Linked DNA regions of Mytilus edulis. The protein of the gene in region 2 purifies or fractionates together with the protein of the main gene of each other region. This does not show direct contact. Links are inferred from orthologs where the notes say so. Each region holds a gene or a part of one and is shown on either strand. Other genes may lie near its edges. The genes, in order: leupaxin-like and tyrosine-protein kinase CSK-like.

Region 1 (7,854 bases), on a different chromosome or scaffold from region 2:
TCAGTAAGACTGGATTCAAAGAATAGTATACCTTTTACCCTTTAAAAAGTACCTGACAAAGAACCAGTTAAAAATTATCAATTGCAAGTAAACATGTACATGTTGAAGAAAAAGGTTTTGCATTTAATTTGAATAAACAGAATACAGAAACATGTCAAATTAATATTTATTTTCTTGTTTCTTGTTTGTAATTACTTTGCTCATCAAAGTTGGAATGAATGTATTTTCTGCAGAATAATTGTACTTGTCCCGACGGACAAGCTTGATACAGCTTTTACTTGTCCGACCTTTTTTCCCTCTGGTACCGGACAATCGGACAAGCGTTATTCACTTATTGTCGAGGCCTGAATTTACACACTGCAACCCTGATGAAAATATTCATAAGGTGATACAAATAGCAACATCATATCCAAGGGTCCGGAAACGGTCATATTTGCCAGTCTTGTCCTAAACTTAAAGTTTAATGTCCTAAACTTTTAATTGGGATTTAGGTCAAATTTTATTTTTCAACAGTAATAATTTCGGTCATTTCGTTGAGATCAAGTTTCAAAATCGCCATTTTGAACATATTTTTGGTTTGTTATCGATTTCCTGTAATTAAACTGCCACTCCAGTAAAGTGTTATAATCCTCCTAATAACTATAGTAATGCCTCGGGCAGCTATTGGCTAATGATCGCTTATCTCTTTACCTGTGTTTTTAATTCACACCTGGTTATTAATCACAAGCTCCGAACAAATATTATAAAGTAATAAAAATTCCATACAAACTGGCTTCATTCTTTAATTACTTAACAGCTAAGACAATTGTCAATTATGATTTAAAATTAAATTAAAACTTGATTTATTTTACGTAGAAAAAAATATTTTTTCACTACTAACACACGTGCTTTGTTTACTATATAATACGCATGCTTGAAATTCTCTTCCGCAGATTTAACACTAAATCGTAAATTTAAAATAATTTCATGCTAAATAAAGCAAGTGCAACTATTTTCATTGATATTCTTCGTAAATATTAAAAAGCCGATGATTTCCTGTGAATTTGATAAACAAACCTAATCCCGAAAATGAGCCCGGAATTGTTCGTTTTAGTATTGTCGCATTACATCCGGTTTGAATTTCGACTTCAGAATCGAAAGAAACCTAAGCGATGACTGAGAAAATTATCGTTTTGAGTCATTAAAATCATTTTATTTTTAAACTGTTGCCTTCCCTTAATTGCTCTTGATCGATTTTAGGAAAATGGTAGGATAAATCATGAAGTAAATGCGATGCAACAGTTTGTTGAAGCTACGAGTATGAGCATACTCATCAGTGACATCACGAGTCTCTTGCAGTAATGTGATTTTGACAATCATTTTTTTAAAAGGGGCGCCAACTTTTAAGTTATATGAAAATGACCGAAATTAGGTGAAAAAATTTCCGGATCCTTGATCATATCTAGACCTATGAAGAACACTAACCCTAACCTACATGTATTAATTATGATTATCTTTCCAAACCTGTCAAAACTATATCATAGATGCCAACCCCATTCGACACAATCAGTAACAAACTATCAAATTTTCCGTATTTTTGAAAAGTTTTCAGTAATCATTCATAAACTTGCATTTACCAATAAAAATTACTGACGAGTGGTTGCAAAATGTTGTGCACTAAAATTTGCCATTCAACATGTTGTTTGTAGTATGTATTCCATTCATTTATTGTTCAGATGTTCTCGACTCGTACATTTTCGTTTTGTCAAGGAGAAGTCAATAAAGGGGGATAGCTTCTTCATAAAATGCAAGTTTGCCTCTTAGGAAGTCAGTTAGTTCCCAACAATAGGTTGATAACTCCCGAGAAACCGGAAGCATTACATTGGCGTTTTCTAAAAACCAGACCAGAACAGAAAAGTAATGATAAAAATCTGCGTTTTATAAAATTGAACGGCGATGATTTGGAATCCGTATACTATTCAACTTCGACCGTAATAGCGTACCGGTAGTTTTTATTGCAAAATCGGAAAAACTACGGAAAAATCGTAATGGTTGGCATCTATGCTATATACATGTATTTGTGTACATGTAGATCTAGATCTACGTATATAAAAAACATTAACATTATCTCATTTCTTGAAATGTGCCCACAAGCACTGGTTTCTGTCCATTAGGGTAGTAAAGCTCTTCACTGTCAGGCATCAAACGGTTATTTTAGACTACTGTTAGCATCAAATTATTCAATTTTTTCTGTGACTTGTCAAAATATCCTTTAACACCTTATCCCTGTTAATGGCTGACCCGAGAATCTGTGCAGTTTGAACTATTGACGTCATACAACAATCACTTTTCAATTGTGGCGTCAGATATTTTGTATTATGACATCAAAATTTTACGGGAGCCTGTGTCATGTCCAGTAATGGAGGACAATTGGCGATAAGGTGTACATGGTGTATTGTGATTCATCTCAAATAATTATCTTTAATGTTTATATCTTTGATAAAAAATGACTTCATTCCTCAAAATCAGTTGATTTTTTTTCGCCTGAACTCAAATACAGTGTACTTCTTATAGTCATGCACAAAAATTACTGTTAACTTATTTAGCACCGTTATTCGACATGAAAGTACGCCAATTTTGACTCCAATTGATAAATCCGGCATGGGAAGGGTTGACTATCAATATATATATGGATAATAGACCTGCAAAAGGAGAGAAACAAGTGCCTATGAATGTGCCCATCCTATTTGCATGATTAGTTGTATAGAACTTTATGAACTTCTATCATTATCTCTGTTCATGATGTTGCTATGCATTACCAATCTAAATAGTCAAAGTAAAGTTACACACAAATAAAATTAACCAGTTATACATCTGCTTGTCTTACCTAAATCATCCATTACTCTCTGATTGTAGCTTTGCATCAACTACAAACTTTTCGGTGGAAAGACTTGAGAGTGACACTTGTGGTACTTCCGGTTTTATAAAGTGGTCACAAATTTCTTTAAAGATTGGAAAAAATGTGAAGTAAAGATATTTTGATTCATTAGAGTCAATTTGGAAGGGAAGCACTATCTACATTTCTAATTGTTTCGTCAAAATAAGTTTTTCTTAGAGAATCCTTCGATTTTCCTCCTTGATGAAATCCCCACTTCCGGTTTACCTGACTAGAACAGGTAAACACTAACCGATCCTACACCAAACTGTAGAAGATTAGAATATAAATATTTGGAAATATAGAAGAGTGTAGATCGAAGAATGTGCAACTTTAATTCTTCCAACCACAATGTCTTCTGGTAAAAATTACTGTTTCGTTTTGATTCGGATGAATCATCGAAAGTTCTATTTTGAAGTGTCAGATTTCAATATAATTTGACAGATTTAAGTGCTGAAACAAACGAAATAAGATCTTTAAAGTAACGTTTTCAACTCAGAATCTATAAGCAGGTAATACGATTCCTAAGTACTGAGTTTTGAACCACAAACATACGAGAGATGTATAGAAAAAAACACACTGTTTATAACGAGAGAAAATCTTAAAGAGGGGGGTGTATGAGAAAACCAGGATGGTAATTACGAGGCATTTATTTTTTTGAAGACTTCCTTTTTGGTCTCACCTTTCTGTATACCTTTATCTTCATTAGAAGAGATAAAAAAATAAAGTTAGTGTTGGTAGTGCTGATTCTCCCAATATTTATAGTGATTATAATTAGTGGGTCTTCTGCTCAGTTATATATATATATGTGAATCTGATGTGGGTGGGGAGGTACTTCATATCCCACTATCTGTACAGTATTCTTCAATTTTTAGGTTGTTTCTATAATTATGTTATTTATCTTTTTTGTCTGTCATTCTATAGTCTTTATATTTTTACATCCCAATATTTAGAATTTTTCATTTAAACTCGCCTAACACTTTAGTCCATAAAATATATAATAATGTAGAGAAAACAAGTAAATGGGTTAACATTGTAAAAGACTGGTTAAATAAATTAGGTTTTGGTCATCTCACTTTTAATACTTTTAATTTAAAATATCACATAAATAGTATCCAACAAAGAATCTATGACCAGGCTTATCAAAATATGAATTGTTCTATCAATAAATGTGAAAAATTAAATTTCTTTTGTCATACTAAAAGAATTAGAAAAAGGCCCCCATATATTGATATATGTAAATTCAAAACCGACCGATCAGTTTTCAGTAAATTTAAACTTAAGTGCGCATTCCCTTAGCAATTGAAAGAGGGCGTTATACCAACATTGAAAGAAGTAAACGCATTTGCTTATCCTGTAACAGACAAGAAATTGAGGATGAATACCATTTCTTCTCAATCTGTCCATGCTATAAATCATTAAGGGATACCTATATACAAAATATTAATAAAAATCTTAATTTCAATTTTATTAAATTGCAGTCCACTATAACACTAAATCATTTGACTGTACTTTTAAATAGCAGTCTACAATTAAGTCATTATAAAAATCACCATAAAGTATATCAATGATTGTCTTTTATTAAGAACATCTGTATAACTTATTTTAATATGCAACCTAATTTTTGTTTGTGTTCTTTTTTTTAATTGTTCATGAACATTAACAATGTGTTAACTGTTGATATTTCGTTATAGCCTTTTTCTTCTTCGCTGTGAATACTACTGTCACTCTAATATAATTATAATCAATTTTACTATTGTCAGTTTATTGTCTTAATTTTGTATGCCATAACCATTTAATGTAAATGTGTTTGTGCGAATAAAATATTGTCTATTGTCTGTTTATAATTTTGTTCCATTTTTAGATCACCGTTCCAAAGGAACTTGAAGTCAGTCGTCATCAGTCTGGTGTAAACTATTCCAAACATCATCTCTTCTGAAACTACTGAACCAATTCCTACCAAACTCAAGCTGAATGATCCCTAGGGTATCAAGAATAATTAAAGTACAATGTAGGTCTATGTCAATGTAAATGTATATATATGTTTTATTTTCTGTTTCATCAAAAAACATGGCTGCAATGGCCATATGATAGCTAAAAATAGAACATAGGGTTAAAATACTGCTTTTGGCTTATATATATCTGAAAAACAAATGCATTTAGAGCAAATCTTGCATTGGGTCAATTTGTGCATGAAGCTAAGTTCTATCAGCCATGAAATTTTCAAAAAGTAAAATCACTAAAATACTGAACCATTGTTGGGTTGCTGCCACTAAATTGGTAATTTTAAGGAAATTTTGCAGTTTTGGGTCGTTATCTTGAATATTTTTAATGATAAAGATAAACTGTAAACAGCAAAAATGTTCAGCAAAGTAAGCTTTACAAATAAGTAAAAATTGTCAATGAAACCCTTTTTTTAAAAAAAAAAAAATTATTTGATTGCACCTTTAAGGACAATTTTACACATTTCGTTTATCATGTTTTCTAACTTTGAAAAATCTTCTCCTCTGAAACTACAAAACCAATTACAACCAAACTTAAGCTAAATGATATCTAGAATAAAGTTTGTGTTTTATTTTGTCAAAAACATGGCCACCATCATGGTGCTGTGGTTAAAAAATATAACATCGGGGTAAATTGCAGTTATCTCCCCATAATGATAAAATGTTCGGAAAATTGACCAGAGTTATCTTACATTAATCACAGAGAGACATATTTAAAAGAGTTATGCTCCATGGAAACATCAATTACATGAAAAATTGCATTGTTGCTCTAATTTGTACAATTCTTACCAGATTTTTGTGAAACTTATATCATAAATAAATATTACATGTAGCAATGATTTGGACAACTTTGAAAATCATGGTGCTGATCAATAATTTTTAAAAGAGTATAATGCCCCACAAAAACATTGATTATATAGAAAATTGCATTGCTAGCATTCCCATGCCTGTTTGAGTGTTTCATTCTTTTCAAATTTTTATGAAACTTTATATTATCATAGGTTTATATCAGCAATGTCTAAAGTTGAAAAGTTGGAAAATAAGTATGGATCAATTATTTTTAAAAGAGTCATGCAGGCCCCTTCAAAATAATGATTACATGTATATGGAAAATTGCATTGTCAGAGTTCTCATGTGTACAAATACTGCCAGAATTTTATGAAACTAACATCATTGGTTTATATCAGCAAAGTCTTTGACACTTTTGAAATTAAAGTCTGATCAAATATTTTGCCCCTTGAAAATTAATTATAACTGAAATCATTTGCTCTGAAGCCTTCAACTCTTTAAAAGTTATTAATTAAAATTCATTGCCCTTATTCCCTGGATAGATAAACTATTTGTAAAGCATGGGGCATTGGAACTGTTTTTTTTTTATTGTATTTTGAAAATAAGGAAATCCATAGTTATGTAATTAGTTATCAAAGGTACCAGGATTATAATTTAGTACGCCACACGCGCGTTTCGTCTACATAAGACTCATCAGTGACACTCATATCAAAATATTTATAAAGCCAAACAAGTACAAAGTTGAAGAGCATTGAGGATCCAAAATTCCAAAAAGTTGTGCCAAATACGGCTAAGGTAATCTATGCCTGGAATAAGAAAATCCTTAGTTTTTCAAAAATTTCAAAGTTTGGTAAACAGAAAATTTATAAAAATGACCACATTATTGATATTCATGTCAACACCTAAGTGTTGACTACTGGGCTGGTGATACCCTCGAGGACGAAACGTCCACCAGCAGTGGCATCGACCCAGTGGTGTAAATAGTTATCAAAGGTACCAGGATTATATGAGGCCTTATGCAACCTGTACATAAACAGAGAGAAATTCCACATTATATTCATGATACTTTTAGCTATATATATATAGGTAATCATATATAATTACAAATTTGATTTCAAATCATACCTGAAAAAAAGCCATCGATCCATCATCATCAACTCATTTCTGTTTTGGGCAAAAATTTAAATACCTTGAAACTAAAAGTTCATCATGAAGAACTTATTACTATGCTACATTATGCATAATACAGATAGAAGAGTTATGCAACACAATGGAGTAAGATATGTGTAAAAGAGGGTTATAGACTATGGAGGAATTTCTTAATAATAAAAATAAAGTGTGTAAAGGGAGGCTATTCTAGGAATTTTTTTTAGAAAAAATAGATTTATTTCCCTGTTTTTATATGACCGCAAAAATTGAAAATTTTTTGGTATCACATTGGCGTCGTGTCATTATCATCGTCGTCTGAAGACATTTGGTTTACCCACCCTAACTTTAGTAAAAGTAAATAGTAAATATGAAATTTAAACACAAGGTTTATGACCATAAAAGGAAGGTTGGGATTGATTTTGGGTGTTTTGGTCCCAACAGTTAAGGAATTAGGGGCCAAAAAGGGCCCAAAGAAGCATTTTTCTTGGTTTTCACACAATAACTTGAGTATAAGTAAACAGAAATCTATGAAATTTTAACATAAGGTCTATGACCACAAAAGGAAGGTTGGGATTGATTTTGGGAGTTTTAGTCTCAACAGTTTAGGAATTAGGGGCCAAAAGATTTTGGATATTTGACCATAATAGGTAAATGTCCAATTTAAAAATTTTAAGTTTAAGTTCTCAGACAACATTCATTCTGTGTCAGAAACCTATGTTGTGTCAACTATTTAATCACAGTCCAAATTCAGAGCTGTATCAAGCTAAAATATTGTGCCCATACTTGCCCCAACTGTTCAGGGTTTGACCTCTGCGGTCGTTTAAAGCTGTGCCCTGCAGGGCATCTGGTTATACCAGATATTGAGTTTGAGACAATAGTCAGAAACCAAAATAGTAACTATTTGTTTTTTCTGTACATTATCAGATTTGTATATGACTGCCAAAAAAATTTGGGATCGTACAATGGTATGATGTCATCTGTGTCGTCGTCAGAAGACAC
Region 2 (7,748 bases):
GCAAAATTAAGGTTTGATTTTCATGTCATATGTGATAAGGTTAGTCAGTTTCTTCCCGCAGGTTGCCGCCGTTTTCCTTCAAGTACGACGGTTTAATAGTATGCCAACAAAACTGACTGCCATGAAATTACATACGGTGTAGAAAGTGATGTTTATAAAACCAAAGCAAACAATAAAAGTTTTAAATCTTTGTCCATTTGTACAAGGAGCCGTAGTGGTTGAGCCATTTAACTTATGGTAATTTTACCAAACTGTGACCACAAGATGTGACATCAGGCCTCTGTTCAATTGGCAGTCCCACAATAAAAGTTCAATTTTCACGTCATACATTGTACATTTTATATGGTTAATTTGTCAGTTTCCTGCCTCAGTTCTGTGTTTTTTTCTGGGTCCTTTGGTTAACTCTGCCAACAAAACTGACTGTCTTACATGAAATTATCCATATGATGTAGAATGTGACATTGACGGTTGACCCCGTTCAAAGAAACCACCAGCATGTACACACAACAATGCTGCAATGCTTTAGACAACATTGGTCTAGAGACTTCATGATTTACATGTATAAAGCTTTTAAATGTAAAAAAAAAAAAAATCCCTACTTACCTACCCACCTGCTGATAGTGTGGGTCGGCAATGCCAAACAAACAATTTTTTAAGGGTGGCCCTATTTAATCAGATTTCACTCTGACATCATGTTTATACATGTAATTCATCATCGTGTTGACATTTTTAGTATTTATTTAAAGTCAAAGAATTGAGTAGAATGGTTATTTCCAGAGTAATTAAAATGATATCCATTTAAATATGTTGCCTTCCACAGAAGATTATTTCATGTTTATGCTCAGTGCTATCTCTGGAGCTCAGTAACCCATGCCAAGAAGTTCTCAGTTTAGAGATAGAGAGAGACAGAGACAGAGAGAAAAAAAACATCAAGAAGTCATGGAGAAGTCTAAACCGTGTGGCAACCACTAAATCCCCAAAATTAAATACTGTACAAATAAATTCAGAAATTATTGTGATGTTTTTTATTATTGTGAAAAATGCGACAAGAAGTTTTATAATCGAAATAATTAAAACTTTTATGAATCAAACAGGATTTGTCTTCATATCGCAAAAATTCAAATCACCTTTTAGTCTTAAATGACAAAAATGCAATAATAAAATAAAATACATGTATTCAGTAGCAAATTCAAGACAAACCGAATTTGATAAAAATCCTGATAATTTGCATGGTCTAAAAAAGATGAATTCTTCAGATAACTATTATGATTTTACTTTTTAACTAATGAGGTAAAGTTGTTATCTTTATTTTTTAACATCAATATGCATTTGCTGTTGTAAAAATGAAAACGCTACAGATTTACTGATTATACCATTTTGAATGACCCATTTATTGATTTGCCTCATATAAGAAGTACACAGGAATCATCATACAAAGGTATTTGTAATGTGGTCAAGTTTTGAAATTGAATTTTTAAATAAAGCTTTAAATGTATGAAAAGTCCTAAAACAATGGAACAGTATTTTCTTTTTGTTTTTGATTTCTGATATTTCTTTTTACTAAACATGCTTAATTTGCAAATTATTACTTTTTTATTATCTATTTGCTGTTTTTTTCTATCAATGTGCATCTCAATCACAAACAGATTACCAGTAGACAACTTAGGCGGTCAAAATGGAATGCATAGTCGTATTAAAGTGATAGGACTATAAAGGCAACTACAAGTAAAATAGAATTTTCCTGACATAAGTTATTAAAGTAAAATAAATACAACCGAATAGAAGGAAATATTTTAAACGTACTTCTCAACTTTATTAGATGAGAATTAGTCAAAAAATCAATATTTTAATGTCAGAATTCAAAATTGTGAACTTTTTTTTCTTACAGTAGTTCTTGCATATTATCCCATCCCTGCTCTTTTAACAGGTGCTGTCATGTTGTACATTTGTAAGTGAAACAATTTCCCTCAAATTTATAATTTTATAATCCGTTTAACCAAAAAAGAATAATGACAACTATACAATGCAAATGCGATAAGACTTGGTCCTCTTTCACAAGATTAAACACCTGCCTCATACAATAATACACTTTTGAGCTTGTTGTATTTCTGTTATTAACTTTGGATGTACAAATGTATACGTAGGGGACATCATTCTTGCAGTGCATTGTCACTCCCTCTACATGTTGAGCGAGCAGTTGACAACAAATGATGCTACATGTATATAATATTGCACAAATTTATTGGTAATTGATAATCAGCACTGCTGTCATAAGGGAATTGTGATTAGTGCATGGTTCATGGTCAGCAGTGGTCCCCTCTATCTGGTAAAAAGATGTCATAAAGGCGTGTCTAATTGACAAACATTTGCAGAGAATGACTTAACTTGAAAGTGTTTTATCATATCTGCACTATAATTTTACAGAAATTTGTGTTATGCATAGCCATGGCATGGTTTGGAAAGTAAACAAAATTTGTCATTGACATTTGACAGAAAACTGCCATTTACATCAAAGAGTTACAAACATAAAGAGAGTATAGATCTTTAAATGTTTACGAGATTAGTCAGAATTACATAGATCATTTTAATTCACCTATTATTTACGGCAAAAGGGCGATCAAAAACAGTAGTCAGTACTTCAATGTTATACCGTAATGTCTGACCTACATCAATAATGTAGCAATATGGTAGCTTAATACTTTGATTTAAAAAATATTAAAAATCTACTTTATTTTCGTCAATGTGGGATTTATAATTACCTAATTGTAAAAGAAAAGCAATTTCTTCATTTTTTTATCAAACAGGAAGCAAAAAGTGGCTGCCATTTTTCTTTCAACAAAAATCGCCCTCTATGTTTAAAAGTTAGATAACTCTAATTTAAAAAAATGTTACCAAAACCATATTTGGCATATATAAAACAAATAATTCAGAAATGGATGTAGCTCCTTTTTGTAAACTGAATCCTCACACTTAATGTCGAAACTATTTTTTAAACCCAACATCAAGATAGACGTGTACTGAAAAAGTCAATTGTTTTCTTTTTTTTTGAAATTACAATGAAATCATGAGACATGAAACTCAAATTACACTACAGTATTAGTTGCAACTGTAACTAATATAAGTTTTGATCCCAGATCGCAGCTCAAGTCAGAGGTTAACAAATTGTCGCTTTTCTGTTTAAAAAATCTCTGATACCATCAAATACTTACCACTAAGACATATTTCCCGAAATGAATGAGGGAATTGACTTCCTTGTGGGAAATAAAACCGTCTGTCAAACAAGGAAGCATTTTTAAAATAGATTATTAAAGTCAAATCGCACAATATAACTGTTATCATAGACATTTAACTTCGCTAGACTTAAATACATCATCTGATATTTTGGATAAAAGTCGGAAAAGGCAACACTTTTATAATATCACGGAACAAAATGACGTTTTATAATTTAGTTTTTTTTATAATAATGATTTTATATGATTATACAATATTATACATGTATATACATTGCTTTAATTTCTCATCGACGACGTATGTAATGATTGGAATGGTGATTGTGGCATTTTTAAAGGCATGCAATATCAAAATATGATACAGGGAGGACAATATACTATAGCGAAAATTTCAAATGTTTTCACATAGCACTGATAAATTGTTTACAGTCGCACACAATTGTCTATCATCGGGTCCAATTGATCCGACTATCTTGTTAAAACAAATGTAAGTACGATATTTTATGATTAAAAAATACATATAGAACAACAAATATAATATATAGGTATACCCAATAGACAAAAGTGATGTAACATGCTTGTTTTAAATAGACAATATTTATTAGCACAAACACATTTACATTAAATGGTTATGGCATACAAAATTAAGACAATAAACTGACAATAGTTAAATTGATTATAATTATATTAGAGTGACAGCGAAGAAAAAAGACTATAAAGATCAACAGTTAACACATTATTAATGTTCATGAACAATTAGAAAAAAGAACACAAACAAAAATTAGGTTGCATATTAAAAGAAATACATGTTATACAAATGTTCTCAATAAAAAAAACAATCATTAATATACTTTATGGTGATTTTTTTAATGACTGGTAGACTGCTATTTAAAATTGCAGTCAAATGCTTCAGTGTTTTAGCGGACTGCAATTTATTTTAAATATCAATAATAAGATTAAAATTAAGATTTTTATTAATATTTTGTATATAGGTATCCCTCAATGATGTATAGCATAGACAGATTGAGAAGAAATGATATTCATCCTCAATTCTTTGTCTGTTACAGGATAAGCAAATGCGTTTACTTCTTTCAATGTTGGTATAACGCCCTCTTTCAATTGCTGGGGAATGGGCACTTAGTTTAAATTTACTGAAAACTGATCGGTCAGTTTTGAGTTTACATATATCAATAAATGTGGGCCTTTTTCTAATTCTTTTAGTATGACAAAAGAAATTTATTTTTTCACATTTATTGATAGAACAATTCATAATTTGATAAGCCTGGTCAAAGATTCTTTGTTGGATAGTATTTATGTGATATTTTAAATAACAGAGTTGAGTTATGTTTTTCAAGAAGAGGGGTGAAAAATACCAGAGGGACAGTCAAACTCATAGATCAAAAAAAAAAAAAACTGGCAACGCCATGGCTAAACTAGAGGCTCTAAAGAGCCTGTGTCGTTCACCTTGGTCAACAAAGGACTCAGATGGATTCATGACAAAATTGTGTTTTGGTGGTGGTGATGTGTTTTTTAGATCTTACTTTACTGAACATTCTTGCTGCTTACAATTATCTCTATCTATAATGAACTTTGCCCAGTAGTTTCAGTGGAAAATGTTAGTGAAAATCTACAAATTTTATGAAAATTGTAAAAAATTGACTATGAAGGGCAATAACTCCTTAGGGTCAATTGACTATTTTGGTCGTGTTGACTTATTTTTAGGTCTTACTTTGCTGTACGCTGTTTACAGTTTATCTCTATCTATTATAGAATTCAAGGTAATAACCAAAAAGAGCAAAATTATCTTACAATTACCAATTCAGGGGCAGCAACCTAACAATTGGTTAGCTGATTCATCTGAAAATTCCAGGGCAGATAGATCTTTACATGATAAACAATTTTACTTCCTGTCAGATTTGCTCTAAATGCTTTGCTTTTTGAGTTATAAGCCAAAAAACTGCATTTTACTCATATGTTTTATTTTTAGCCATGGCGGCCATCTTGGTTAAACTAGATACCCCAATGATGATTATGGCCAAGTTTGGTTTAATTCGGCCCAGTAGTTTCAGAGAAGATTTTTCTAAAAGATTACTACATGTATAAAGATTTACGAAAAATGATTAAAAATTGACTATAAAGGGCAATAACTCCTAAAGAGGTCAACTGACCATTTTGGTCATGTTGACTTATTCGTAAATCTTACTTTGCTGAACATTATTGCTGTTTACAGTTTATCTCTATCTATAATAATATTCAAGATAATAAGCAAAAACAGCAAAATTTCCTTAAAATTACAAATTCAGGGGCATCAACCTAACAATGGGTTGTCCAATTCATCTAAAAATTTCACGGCAGAGATCTTCACCTGATAAACAATTTTACCCCCATGTCATATTTGGTTTAAATGCTTTGGTTTTTGAGTTATAAGCCAAAAACTGTATTTTACCCCTATGTTCTATTTTTAGTCATGGCGGCCATCTTGGTTGGTTGGCCGAGTCACCGGACACATTTTTTAAACTAGATCCCAAATGATGATTGTGGCCAAGTTTGGTTAAATTTGGCGCAGTAGTTTTAGAGGAGAAGATTTTTATAAAAGTTAACGACGACGGACGACGGACGCCAAGTGATGAGAAAAAAGCCAATCAGACAAATGAAAGTACACAAGACACAACATAAAAAAACCTAAAGACTAAGCAACACGAACCCTTCCAAAAACTGGGGGTGATCTCAGGTGTATCGGAAGGATAAGCAGATTCTGCTCACATGTAGCACCCGTCGTGTTGCTCATGTTATTCCAACATCGGTAAATAGTAAAATTCGGTAGGTCACATTCGTGAAAAGGGAAGGCGATTATAGTAATGACATAAGGACTTTATGCGATATAACAGTGAAACTGTAATTTTATAACGGTCAACCAATTCGTGATGCAGTCCGTAAAATTTACGAAGGGATGATTTCAACGTTACCATTTGGAACTCAGGCTTGGTTTGATAGCATCCTTGTGAGCAGCAACCCTTTATCAAGGAAATCATGGTAGGAAATACAAGCCTGGGAACGTCGTATCAATTGGGAGATATATACTCCGTATGCAGGCGCTGTTGGAATGTTGCTACATAGAAATGGAAAGTTTACAATTGGGAAGCTGAAATCTTCTCTTTTGTCGTAAAATTTTGTTTTCAGCCGACCCTCATTGTCAATTTCTAATTGTCAGTTAAGATATGAGGCAGACTTAATTGTATCCGTTGTATCCTTTATCTCTAGTTGGATGGAATAGATGCGTTCAACATTGACACCAAATTTAGAATTATTTAGCGAGAGAACATGATCTATATAGCGGAAAGTAAAGTATCAAAGGATTGCTAACTTCTTATCTTTCTTCCTAAGAAGTTCCCGTATAAATGCCTGCCTCATATTTCTTTTTTTGGGTAAATAACACGAATAAAGTTCTTTTAAAACTGTTGTTTTATTTCAACATGGTTAGGAATTTTAAAAAGTGAATGTTTTATTTGTAAACTAAGTATCGTCTACAAAGTGTGTCGGAACATATTAGCCGGGAGACCGGATCGTATAGCTAGCGAAGATGATAATGTATCTTTCTATATATGAATAGGCAAAATCTATTTAAAACATGGCCAAAATTATCTTTAAAAACTCATTTACCAAATTATCTTTAAAAACTCTTTTACCAAATTATCTTTAAAAGCTCTTTAACCAAATTATCTTTAAAAACTCTTTCATCAACTTATCTTTAACTAGATGTGTCAAAGCGACACGAATGGCCCCGTCTCAAAAAGTTGAGAAAAATCTACAATTTCAATAATACATGTGGACACAACCATGATGGTAGTGTCACATATGAAAAATCAGCTCAAAATCTGGAGGCGTATAGAAAAATGTCCATATAACTGACTTTTCAACATTTTTCAAAGTTGTAAACCCTTAATTTTGGCAAAAATTAGTGGAGCGGAAAGAAACTTATACTTGATCTGTAACTCATCATGTTTACCAAAAATCAACCCAATATCTGAAAGCCTTTAGAAAAATGGTCCGTATAATTGTGATTTTCAAATATTTATCAAAGTTCAAAGCCCCGGCGAAATTACAGCAAAAATTAGCCGAGCGGAACGAAACCTATTGTTGATCTGTAACTCATCACGAGTAACTTACATACCAAAAATCAGCCCAATATCTGAAAGCGTTTAGAAAAAAGTCCGTATAATTGTGATTTTCAACAATTTATCAGCATATATAGACTTTTTAACATATATTTAGCCTACTCACAGTATTCTTTTTGTTACTTTCTAGAGGTGTGTCTGAGACGAAGGTTTTATATATATACTAATAAATGAAAACTGTTGTTTCTTATTTGTGTTTTTAACTATTCATACTGTAATGTTTATTATATTTGTAAAAGAATAACATTATTATTATATTATATTATGCTCCTTGTGAGCCCATTTTATGGACATAGTTGTTCATTTCCTACGGGTCCCCTTTCTGGAATTACAATATTAATAC

The links.
Region 1: the proteins of tyrosine-protein kinase CSK-like (region 2) and leupaxin-like purify together in Homo sapiens (affinity purification with mass spectrometry; 4 studies listed by BioGRID and IntAct, with this or other methods). This does not show direct contact. The link is inferred for Mytilus edulis from reciprocal best matches to the Homo sapiens genes CSK and PXN.

What each region holds. Positions count from the first base shown.
Region 1 is NC_092349.1:36,798,097-36,805,950, reverse strand, and holds the start of leupaxin-like, read right to left. Parts: upstream 3,169-7,854; 5' UTR 2,904-3,168; coding exon 2,867-2,903; intron 1-2,866. UniProt on the Homo sapiens protein: Cytoskeletal protein involved in actin-membrane attachment at sites of cell adhesion to the extracellular matrix (focal adhesion). Recruits other proteins such as TRIM15 to focal adhesion.
Region 2 is NC_092347.1:54,622,558-54,630,305, forward strand, and holds the start of tyrosine-protein kinase CSK-like, read right to left. Parts: upstream 3,339-7,748; 5' UTR 3,210-3,338; intron 2,869-3,209; exon of another isoform or gene 2,760-2,868; intron 1-2,759. UniProt on the Homo sapiens protein: Non-receptor tyrosine-protein kinase that plays an important role in the regulation of cell growth, differentiation, migration and immune response.